Daphnia pulex: one gene and its partners. The protein of the gene in region 3 purifies or fractionates together with the protein of the main gene of each other region. This does not show direct contact. Links are inferred from orthologs where the notes say so. Each region holds a gene or a part of one and is shown on either strand. Other genes may lie near its edges. The genes, in order: kinesin-like protein KIF3B, kinesin-like protein KIF3A and kinesin-associated protein 3-like.

Region 1 (4,369 bases), on a different chromosome or scaffold from region 3:
AATATATAATATGTACTGTATAAAGTTTCCATCAATGAAGAAAAGAAATTGAAACCACAAAAGGATACACTTTGCTGCTGATTAGGTGCACTTTCTCTCCTCATTTAGATTGTTAATAAACAAACCAAAAAACACGATTGACAACCAAACGACCCAATAATTTAAAAAAAAAGGAGTTTAGAATGAAGTTATTGGAAACCAGTGGAAGTCGTCTTCATTTGAGATTAACAACTACTCAAACGCTTTTGTTACATCCTCAAATACTTGGTCGGGAGATTGGGACGCATCAATTTTTCTGACTAGACCCAGAGCATCGTAATGCTCAATGATTGCCATAGTGTCTTTGACGTATGTCTGAAACCGCTTCTTTAGACTTTCCTCGTTGTCATCCGAACGACCACTTCCGGCGGCACCTCGTTGAAGGCAACGCTCCATACACGCCTGATTGGAAATGATCATATAACACAAGTGAATAAGTTAATGTTCTTGAGTCTATGAATTAGCCTATAAACAAACAAAACATACTTCTTGGGAGCAGTCAAAGAACAAGACAAATAGCACATTTGTCTTGTCTCCCATTTCCTTCTGCCAGCCATCTAAATTGTCCTTGTTCCTTGGGAAGCCATCAATCAAAAATTTATTGTTGCCACTCTTCTTCATTGCCTGTATTATGGGATAATAAGAGCACACGCTGTTGTTACTTGTAACAAAAGAGAGGATTTTAAAAGATTAACTTACAGTGGCCAATAGGCTGCAAGTTATTTCAACTGGGACAATAGTTCCATTACGAATATGACTCTCAATTAGTTCTCCGTAAGCTGATCCTTCAGTGTTTCGTTCTTCACGAAGCAAGTCTCCAGCTGACAGATGAACATACTGGAATTTCTGCAATAAATTTAAATGGGTCAATTTTAGAAACCTCAATCGCAAGGTTGGCACACAAGCTCACCTCAACTATCTTAGCACACTGTGTCCCTTTGCCAGCTCCAGGTCCTCCCAAAACAAAAACAACGTTCGGTAATTCGGCGGACATGATCGTCTTGATGGATTTAATATTTCTAAGACCTAGATTACTGGTGACACAGGCGATTCTAGTGCAAAAAGAGGCAAAGAAACAAATCAATACACAGCAAGTATTGCATGCAGTACTGCACCTCGGTACCTTCTAGTCAGCAGACCGAACATACGTCTGTCAAGTCTGCTTGCCGGGGGTCGGTGGCGGATTAATAAACTCCTCCTCCCGGACACTACGGCACTACGTGGCCGCTGTATCGAGCTTGTACAGGGAAATCGGAATTTTACGCTTTCTGATTTTATTCTGACATCTGGTCTGGTCCCGCGTGAAAGGTAGGACTAAACAGCAACTCAACCATGCTCTCTTAATATGTTTCTTAATTCCAATCTCCCGTTTTATTTTGGACTACAATTTGATAAATTATCTATTTGATTTATTGATGACAACAATATCTATTTTAAATTGGAATCTTTGTGTTTTTATTGAAAAGGGCCTACTGATCTGATTTTGTTGTGAATTTCAGTCACCAAGCGCCGCCACTAGCAAGTTAAAAATCCGTGCCCATCGCTTAGGCAACAACAACAACAAATTCGGAAGTCGGCTTCTCCACTGACTCCATGGCGACAGCTCCTTATAAATTTGCAAAATGAATTGATTTCTTTGTGAAAAAAATTCCGGCTGGCTGTCAGGATATCCTTTCAGCTCGCATGTAGTAGACTTAGTTAGTTCGTCGCATCTTAAGAAAATGAGTGCAGAATCAGTAAAGGTGATAGTCAGGTGTAGGCCTATGAATGAAAAAGAAACATCTGAAAACTATGAGGGGTATTGTAGTATGACTGATTTTTTAATTTAAATTCTTACTATTGAAAATGTTCGTTTCTTGAAGGATTGTGAATGTGCTACCAAAGCGAGGTGCAATTGAAATCCAAGCGCCTACAAAACCACCCACTTCTAGAGAATTTACCTATGATGCTGTGTATGACTCAAAGTAAGTGTTAATTTGGGTAAAAAACATACTATTTTTCCTATTTACTAAAATATTTTTTGTATTAATTTGTGTTTAGCTCAAACCAAAAGGATCTCTATGATGAGTCTTTTAAGCCTCTAGTTGATTCGGTACTTCAGGGTTACAATGGGACAATCTTTGCTTATGGGCAGACAGGTACAGGAAAAACATTCACAATGGAAGGTGTCGCAAAAGACCCGGATAAGAGCGGTGTTATTCCACGCTCATTTGAGCACATATTCAATCATATTGCTCAGTCTCATGATCGACAATACTTGGTGAGAGCATCCTATTTGGAAATCTATAAAGAACAAATAAGGTTTGTCTTTTATACTTATATTGCCTTGAGTTTGGTAATAATTCCTGTTGAATTAAAGGGATTTGGTATCAAAAGATCCTAAGAAACGTCTTGAGTTGAAGGAGCATTCTGATACCGGAGTATTTGTAAAAGACCTTTCGTCTTTTGTTTGCAAAAGCGTTGTTGAAATCGAACATGTGATGAATGTGGGAAACGTTAATCGCTCTACTGGGTAAGCAATGACTATTAAGTTTGACGTTTTGCTGGCACAAAAACAACTTTATTATTATGTTCAATAGTGCTACCAATATGAACGAACACAGTAGCCGTTCTCATGCAATATTCATGATAACGGTAGAATCGTGTGACGTTGGTCAAGATGAAGAAAACCACATTGTGGTTGGAAAGTTAAACCTTGTCGATCTGGCTGGCAGTGAAAGACAGACAAAAACTGGAGCATCTGGTAAATTCTCATGTTGAAATTGCCCAAGGAAACTTATTGATTTTCTGTTTTTTTGTGTAGGAGAAAGACTGAAAGAAGCAAGCAAGATCAATTTATCCCTTTCAGCTTTGGGCAACGTCATATCCGCTCTAGTCGATGGCAAAAACGGGCATGTTCCCTATAGGGATTCCAAATTGACACGTCTCTTACAAGGTACCGAGCTCTTCATTCACTTCATACATAATTTCATTATCTGATGGAAAAAAACTGCCGGTTTAGATTCCCTAGGTGGTAACTCTCATACAGTGATGGTTGCCAACATAGGCCCAGCTTCGTACAACTACGAAGAGACGTTGACCACACTTCGATACGCCAATCGCGCAAAACACATTCGCAACAAACCCCAAATCAACGAAGATCCAAAAGACGCTCTCCTTCGGAGCTTTCAGCAAGAGATTGCACGATTGAAAGCCTCTCTAAGTAATAAAAAAAACAAGCCAAAAAGAAAAGGTGATGGGGGGTTGCACGACGTATCCAAATCTTCTGAAGATTGGGCTGACGATACAGAAGCTGAGCTCGAGCAGGAAAGAAAAGATATCCTCAACAATAGTAGTCTCATTGCGGAAGAGAGGGATCAACTTCTTAAGGTACTTTTTAATGCTCACTGTGCAATCATGCAATCATTTATAATCATCATATCTTGTTTCCAGACTCTGCAAACGAAACAAGAGGAGCTGCATAATAAACGCGAGAACCAAGAAAAATTGGCGTCTCGAATCGAAGCTCTCGAAAGCAAATTGTTAACTGGCCATATAGGCACAACATCCGAAAACGTAACCATCGAAGACGTCACGAAGAAGCAACAGCAAACGCTAGAAGCTCACCGCCAAGAAATTATTGAACGCGAGGTAAGATCTAGCAAACTAACATAAATGGAACTATGAACATTAATGGATATCTTTTTTGGCTTCCAGCGTCAAGAGCGAGAGATGCGCCAGAAGTTAGAAAGCCAAGACGAGGAGGTGATTGATTTCAAAGAGAATTTCAGTTCACTCCAACAAGAGATCGACTACAAAACCCGAAAGCTGCGCAAAATGTACGCTCGCTGGCAGAGCGTCAAGCAGGAAATGGGTGAACTCGGCGATGAGTTTAGTCGACAACGACGTGAATTGGAAGAAACTCAAGAAGTTCTGATGAAGGAGCTCAGACTGAAGCAGCTGATTGTCAGCCACTTTGTTCCTCCCGAATTCCGACGTCAGTTAACATCACGTCTGCGCTACGAGGAAGATGAAGAGAGATGGATGTTGAGCCCAGCAACGGAGATGCCTCTACTGCCTAGAGGTTTCGCCTCCAAGTTTGAACTGAGACCAACGTCGGATTACGAGAAACTCGCTCGTTCAGCTGAAGATTCTTCTTCTTTCGGTCGCTTTAAAGTAAGAAAAATGCTTCGTGTCGGCGTGAGAGATGGTGTTTACTAACTTCAACTTTTTGTTTTTTAGTGTGAAAATATTTTTTTGCTAAGCCTGGACATCCCCCAGCGGACCACTAAGGAATACGAAGGCCCAGAAATTTCTCCCACTTTGCAAGCGGCTCTCACTCAGGCCCTGC
Region 2 (4,176 bases), on a different chromosome or scaffold from region 3:
TGAGCTGAGGGGGTGCGAGCACCTTTTCCTGTAAGGCGCGCACTGGTCGCCGACCGAGATTTCATTTTCGCTGATTTAGGACGAACAGGATCAGATAAGCCAATGATGTCGTCATATGAGAGATACACGTAACTGAGATCCAGTTCAGGTCTCTGTGGATCGCCAAATTCATTAGTGAAATCAGATCGCTAAGCTTGGTAATAAGACGTACGTAGGTGGAGCGAGCAGATCGCCGAGGAGAATTGTACTGGTTGATGTTATTTCCAGCATAGGCCACGCCTCTCAGTTGCCATTCACCGTACTCTTCACTCCAGTTGACATGTTGTTCGATAATTTGCTAATGACAACATTGCAATTTTATCATTGACAACTTACAAGAGTTTGATGACAAAAATGTGAGGAATACCTGATACGCAGCCGGGATGTATTCGTCGACGACCAAAGTAGAAAGCTTTAATTCTTTAGAGAGCTGTCGTACACCCTCGAGGAGTTGTTCCATTTGTGTCTGATGTTCCTGCCTCATATCTTCAATCTCGCTCTTGGACGAGTGAAGTAGCGTCCAGACTTTGCGCAGCTTTCTCGTCTTACCCTGCACCTCTTCTTGCAACGAGCTGTAACGCTCTTCCATATCTATCCGCTCGGCTTCTTTCTCTTGCAACTGTTGGCGCAGCAAATCTTCTTTGGCCTTTCGTTTCTCAAGCTCTTTTCTCGCATCCTCTAGCAAACTGGCCTGTTGTTCCACCCTGTCAAGCAAATTCTCACCTCCTACGATGACTTTGCTTTCAAGTGAAGCTAGTTTCTGTCTCAGACGCATTTCTTCTTCCCTGTTTGACACAGATATTGAATCAGGGGATTTATTTGAAAATCTGTGACGCTGAAACTTACGCAGCAGTCTGCAATTCTTTCTCTTGTTCCGCCAAAGTTTGGGCCACTTTTTTGCGCTCCTCCTCCGCTAGTTGGCTACTTTCCATAACCATTCTTCGCTCCTCATCAATCTTGGCCTGTAAATAATGAATTCTCAGTTGCCAAATATTTATCAGATAGACGATAGGATTACTTTGATGGCAGCTCGTTCACTCTCCGTCCGCGGTTTTCGTTTCTTATCTTTGCGCAGCTCGTAGTTTTCTTCGCCACTTTCGTCCGAACTGGCACTACCAACTGTACGGATTAGATAAGATTACGTCAACAAACAATAATTCTCATTTAAATATTCAAACCTTCTTCTAACTGTCTACGAAGCTCTTCAATCTCTCTTTGGAATTGCTTGAGCAACGCATCCTTAGGATCCTCGTTGATACGAGCTTTGTTTCGGATATTTTTGGCTCGGCTTGCATAGCGAAGTGTGTTCAGAGTTTCATCAAAGTTGAAAGATGCGGGTCCGATATTTGCGCACTATCTCCAACAAGTGCCAAGGTGTCATTATTAAACTGAGAGAACGTGTTGAGGATTCAGGTTTTATACCATGAGGGTTTTGGCGTTTCCACCAAGAGAATCTTGCAACAGCCTAGTTAGCTTGGAATTGCGGTATGGAACGTGAGAGGCCTTGCCATCAGCCAAAGATGAAATTACATTTCCCAATGTAGATAATGACCAATTGATCTTGGATGCTTCTCGCAGTCGGAGACCTGAAGCTCCACTTTTGGTCTGTCGTTCACTTCCAGCCAAATCCACCTTTCAAGACAAAATAATCGTAAATTCTTCTCAACCGAGGAACAAAGATGATGCGTTACAAACCAGATTCAGTCGACCGACATGAAGAGTGCTGTTTCCATCTATTCCTTTCTCGCTGCACTCGACGGCAACCGTGAAAATGGCGTGAGAACGCGATGAATGGATGTTCATTTGGGTAGCACCCACCGATCCTGATAGTTTCGATCAAAGTTACAGATTATAATCTTCAATGTAAATATAAAAGGAAGCATCTTACTATTTTTATTTCCCATCGTCATTATACGCTCCATGTCCTCGGCATTATTCACAACATAAGTAGACAGATCTTTGACATAGACGCCAACGTCGGGCCTTTCTTTGATTTCCAGATGGACATTTTGGTTCTTGCTCAGTAAATCCCTGACTTCTTCATTGTAGATTTCAAGGTAAGAGACACGAACTAAGAACCTGTGGAAAATTCCAGCCAATTCATAAAATCAAAAGTTCTGATTATTTAATTGAGCTATATCTACTACACACTTTTTTCTTTCTGATTCTTTAGCTATATGGCCAAAGATGTGTGCAAATGAATTTGGAATGATTCCCCTTAGTTCAGGGGCTTGAGGGTTGCCCTCCATGGTGAATGTTTTGCCTGTTCCAGTTTGCCCATAGGCAAATATTGTGCCATTATATCCTTCCAGAACATTCTGAACTAGAGGTCTTGCAGCATGGTTGTAGACTTCCATCTAGAATGGAAATGTTGTAGTAAGAACATTGTTTCAGTCTGAAAAAAGAACCGACAATACCTGAGAAGATTCTTGTCCGAATACAGAATCAAACACAAAGCTTCTGTCCACATCATTGTACGATTGACCAGTCCCATTAGCACCATTGTTTTGGGCTCGAAGAATAATAGTATTATTAACTGAATCAACTTTGACGACGGTTTTGTAACCGGCAGTCTTCTCAGTTTCGCTCAGTGGTCTCACTCTGACCACAACTTTGACATTTTCCGATATAGAGCTGGTGTCCATCATTTACCAGTACATGAAAATAACTGGTGCAATTCTCAAATGAGATCTATATGAGATCAAAACCCCACCCTTTTAGATCACTGAAATTGAGAATCGCATGTTTCTACCAGATTCTAGCAGAAGACAAATTAATCGATACTGTTGACGTTGCGTTGCTATGGGAGATTCAGAAGTAATTGATCGGTGCCGCCATCTGACAGCGAAATATTGTGGCAATTCTCCTGGAATGAAATCGTTCAATCACGAACGCTGGATGTCGTCTTCTCGGAGGAAATAAAGGAACGACATTGTCGTCGTATATATTCTTTCACCCGAAATCACGGTCAGCACAAATCGCCTTTGGAGCTGATGGTTGAAAACGACGTTGCTGGGTAGGAAATCTCGTCAAATGAGTTCCCTGGCGTCCCCCTAAGTTCCAAGTCAAACGGCGAGTGAGTACATTAGCCGTTTAATAATAGGAGAGAATCTCTTGAATCAACATTGAAGGGAAAACGGATATCGTTTATTGCAGCTCGAGGGGGTTGGACGATGAGCACGAGGAGGGAAGTAATGTCAACACAATAATGCACACTGCAGATTCTCTAATATGTTTTCTCGATCGTCGTCGTCATCGCGGGACGGAAGAAGAAACAAGTCGAACCGTTGATTGGTTATGTACTACATGGTGTGTGTGTTCACAGTACAGTTTCGTTCACGGGAATATGTCGTCTATTCATTATAGTGACTAAGTTGTGCACATGTGTAATTTATAAAGCTTATATTAGCTTCTTCCTTCATCGCCCGTGTACTACAATTATCTTTTTGGGGGGTCCCTGTTGTTGCCTATGTGAGCCTCTTTGGTTCACCAGGTGACTGCCGTTTCCCGGGTGCCGTTCATGAGGTGGAAAAAGCGTGTTTGGGACGGGGGGCTCCGCCAAACTTCACGAGAAATGCGCGGAGAGATACGAACGTGAACGCTGTAAGATGGGAAAGCGGTTATCGGGATTGGAGAATAAAAGCGGCAGAGTCGATTCACGGTCGACCAACAGTGGCAGCTGCACATCAAAGAACAAGTCTGCTGCTGCTGCTGCTGCTTCTGCTGCGAGGATCCATCGAGCTAGGATGTACACATCAGAGCAATATAGATCAGTTTGACACGCGTGAATGCAGCCACTCTAGTAACTCGTCCATCTCACCGAAAACTGCTGCGGGAGTGGAGCATTTATTGCCTCCCCCTTCCGCACTTTTTTCTCAACAGCCCACCCGAAAATAAAAAAGTCTCGAGTGTGTTCCAGTCAATTTCACTGTTGCCACACCCTCTTTTTCCATTTGAAAAATATTTAAAAAAAAAGTCCTCGTCGATATTTCCCGTGTAAGCTCCTCCGCGTGTTCCGTCATCGGGAAAGAAGATCTACGTAATGCTTCCAGTACTACATGTGTGTGTGTGTGTGTGTACTAGAAGCGCGTGTCAGCGTGTATAATCGGAGGCGGGGTCCTGCCGGCAGTGGAACGC
Region 3 (3,018 bases):
AGATATGGAGCAAAATTCGCCACCATCTTTCTGTTATTGCATTTTTAATTGGCGAGGCAGGCCGATCACTCAACGGAGATTTTTAGATTATGATCTTGTGATCCTGCAGGATTAAGCGCAAATGCACAATACAAAATTAGTCTGACGAAATTGTATTACATATTCCTTTTTAACTTTATCCCAATGAATAAACAGTAAAGAAATGTTGTTTTTCTTTTATTTGTGTGGATTGTGAATTAATTTAATTTAATTATGATGTGATTGATTGAATTCTAATTAAATTCACTTGACAACAACGTCTGCTTCTCTGATATTATTTTCGTGAAAATTTTGAAAGGTTTGTTACATAATATTATAGTTCGTTCCGTTTCCATGGTAGAAGAGAAGTGAGATAACTGCAATATTGGTTGGATTTTTAATATTTTAAATCTAAAATACCAAACAAAACGTTCTTAAATTTCGGGGAAATTCCGAATACAAAATGCGTCAGTGCTGTGGTGTGGTTGAACATGTGAGTGGATGTGCAACATGCTGTGAGGAACTCTGTGAATATGTGTGAGTTTATTTATTTGCTGGCTTATTTTGCATATCATATTTATTGTTTACAAAGTCTTGGCATTTGAACTAAAGAGGTTGAACACGAAGGATGCTTCAACAAGTACAATAGTATACAGTGGAAAACAGATACTTCAGCAGCACTTGCCTATAATCGTGCTGTGATGTTTGTTGAACACATGGAAATGGTAGTCTAGTAACTTAATAATTCTAAATCAGTTTGCACTTGCTGCAATTGGTTCTCTTGATTTCCTCGCTAAAGTATGAATTGAAAATAAGTGCTTATATGTTTGGCGAGTTTGTTATGTTTCAATACCTTGTAAGTTGCCAATATTCCCCATTTTATACATACATTTATTTATAATAATGTCAAATTGCACTTCCTGCCCTCTACTTAACCATTACCAACACAAAATACTTCTTCTTAATATGCATGCATTATGACGAAGGAACTCTGGTTGATTAAACTTTAAATTTTTTGGGACATATATCTATATATTAGATCAACGTCTCGACGGATTTGGTCTTTTCGTGACGGCTTCATTCATCGCTCGAAGTCCCTTCTTCCACGCCTCCTTTGTTTCATCAGTGAATCCTTTCCCCAGTTCTTCTTCCAACACTCCCATTAGGGTCACTCCCAGAAGCTGTTTATCAAGACAGTGTTAATTTTCCTGTTCACCAAAGTAGGTATACCAAAATTATCACATTATACCTTAAGATCTTCATGATGATATTTTCCTTTTGCCTTAGCGATGAACGGACAATTTTTAGGGTTTTTCCCAAGGTGTTCAACGTATGAATTGAGCCCAGATACGCAATTCTGAGCTTGAGCGAGAAAGTCTTCATTCGTCGGAAGCTTCATGTGGTCTACTTCCGCAAAAGCTGGAAACATTTTCTGTGCCTCAGGCTTCAATTCAAAGTAACTAGATTACAGAAAATATTTTATCAATCTTACACTAATCGCATTTGTTTCTTTCACTTACCGTAGGAATGTCTTGGGACCGATGTTACCATTCTTTTTGGCAGTATTCCATGTGGAGCGGATCGTGGCCTCATCCCTTTCGTTGAGAAAATTCTCCAAGATCCTCTGGCTCTCCGACTTTGTCGACGGATCTCTTTGACCGGATGAACTCGCCTGGGAGAATGACAGGTAGGTGCTTAGAACAATAGCGGAGATTTTCCATATGTGTACCAACTTTGTAGCCGCGAGGACACTCTGCTCGTCCAGGCCGAGCCTCCAGAAAGACCACCAATATTGCAGTCAATATGTAGTGGACCAGCATGTTGAATTTTTGAAATTTCAAGTCGTTAAGCAGTTTCCCCTCTTGCACTCAAACTCTTCGGTCTGGGTTTCACGGAATGATATGAGAGCGAGCGCGATTGGAAGCTGTTTTTGAAGTCATCGCGATGAACATAGCTGTACTGTTTTTGACAGGGCACTGGGGACTACGTGCTTTGAGCTACAGTTTCGGAGGCTGATAATATTGAAACCAAAGTCGACCGAATGCTGTAAACCCTCAAGGCGTCAATCTCATTTGAGGGCGACGGATGTCTTATCCATAGGGTCATCTAGATTAGTTGCGGAGGTCGCGTGCTCAGAAACCGAGGAACTTTAACGAGAAGCCAACATTTTTTTTATCGTTTTTATTGGGTCATTTCCCCCTAACGAAAAACACACAAAAAGCAATGGAAAAAAAAATGCGTGAAAACTATTTCTTAAATAGCAGTTTGTTTGAAAGATCATTCAAAGCAAATGATTAGCACCTCGTCAGCCAAAAATACAAGTAAAATGACACGAAAATGTAGTCGGAATCGTTATGTTGAACGCAGCTTGAATAGGAGTAGATCACAGAACTTGGGAACAGAATGAGGGGGGAAAGCACAGCACATTGAAACAAAAAGATTGACGACTAGAAACTCTTGTTTTTATTTTTCTTCTTCTCGTGGTGGGCGACCCATTATTATATTTGCGCATCCCAAGCATCAATAGATTCGACAGGCGATCCTATGCGGGATTCGGGTGATCCGAAACTGGATGCAGAATTACTTGCACGATCGAGGAGGTCGGCGTGTCGTACGCACAAATCTAAAACACTGCCAGCGATACTGTGTTCATCTTCAGTTCCTGATGAAAACACAACAATCGGATTATGTTTGGGTACGATTGGGTACTTGTTGAAATAAGATTATTACCAGGCGACGATAAGAGGTTCGTTTTGGCGATGGCCTCGAGCCACTGAGCATTGTGCCAGCAGAAACGTTCATTTTTAATCCGCTCTTCCCATTTGGTATCCGACTCGGCAATCAGCATCAGTCCTCTCTCGCACACTTTTCGAACTTCTAGGTTTTGGTCGGTCATGAGGTCTAGAAAAGAGGCCGGGATGTCTTCAAACTAATCAAATCACGTCGCTTTATTGACCTTGTTCTTTTTTTTTCAATCTTAATCTGAGAACTGTTTATACT

The links.
Region 1: the proteins of kinesin-associated protein 3-like (region 3) and kinesin-like protein KIF3B purify together in Drosophila melanogaster (affinity purification with western blotting; 4 studies listed by BioGRID, with this or other methods). This does not show direct contact. The link is inferred for Daphnia pulex from reciprocal best matches to the Drosophila melanogaster genes Kap3 and Klp68D.
Region 2: the proteins of kinesin-associated protein 3-like (region 3) and kinesin-like protein KIF3A purify together in Drosophila melanogaster (affinity purification with western blotting; 5 studies listed by BioGRID, with this or other methods). This does not show direct contact. The link is inferred for Daphnia pulex from reciprocal best matches to the Drosophila melanogaster genes Kap3 and Klp64D.

The regions. Positions count from the first base shown.
Region 1 is NC_060027.1:697,220-701,588, forward strand, and holds the start of kinesin-like protein KIF3B, read left to right. Parts: upstream 1-1,558; 5' UTR 1,559-1,760; coding exon 1,761-1,837; intron 1,838-1,901; coding exon 1,902-2,003; intron 2,004-2,079; coding exon 2,080-2,340; intron 2,341-2,398; coding exon 2,399-2,551; intron 2,552-2,618; coding exon 2,619-2,782; intron 2,783-2,842; coding exon 2,843-2,974; intron 2,975-3,040; coding exon 3,041-3,408; intron 3,409-3,471; coding exon 3,472-3,669; intron 3,670-3,735; coding exon 3,736-4,194; intron 4,195-4,260; coding exon 4,261-4,369. Other genes in the region: UMP-CMP kinase-like, read right to left, coding at 232-441, 526-663, 739-885, 950-1,091, 1,163-1,185. UniProt on the Drosophila melanogaster protein: Plus-end directed microtubule motor that may be used for anterograde axonal transport and could conceivably move cargos in fly neurons different than those moved by kinesin heavy chain or other plus-end directed motors.
Region 2 is NC_060019.1:8,190,731-8,194,906, forward strand, and holds the start of kinesin-like protein KIF3A, read right to left. Parts: upstream 2,808-4,176; 5' UTR 2,688-2,807; coding exon 2,457-2,687; intron 2,397-2,456; coding exon 2,191-2,396; intron 2,119-2,190; coding exon 1,928-2,118; intron 1,863-1,927; coding exon 1,735-1,862; intron 1,672-1,734; coding exon 1,462-1,671; intron 1,393-1,461; coding exon 1,218-1,392; intron 1,159-1,217; coding exon 1,058-1,158; intron 1,002-1,057; coding exon 886-1,001; intron 825-885; coding exon 407-824; intron 338-406; coding exon 212-337; intron 153-211; coding exon 1-152.
Region 3 is NC_060025.1:2,639,369-2,642,386, forward strand, and holds the end of kinesin-associated protein 3-like, read right to left. Parts: intron 2,948-3,018; coding exon 2,749-2,947; intron 2,681-2,748; coding exon 2,517-2,680; 3' UTR 1,839-2,516; coding exon of another isoform or gene 1,752-1,838; intron 1,691-1,751; coding exon of another isoform or gene 1,539-1,690; intron 1,479-1,538; coding exon of another isoform or gene 1,268-1,478; intron 1,200-1,267; coding exon of another isoform or gene 1,059-1,199; 3' UTR 551-1,058; downstream 1-550. Other genes in the region: N-acetylated-alpha-linked acidic dipeptidase 2-like, read left to right, coding at 1-86; globin C, coelomic-like, read right to left, coding at 1,059-1,199, 1,268-1,478, 1,539-1,690, 1,752-1,838.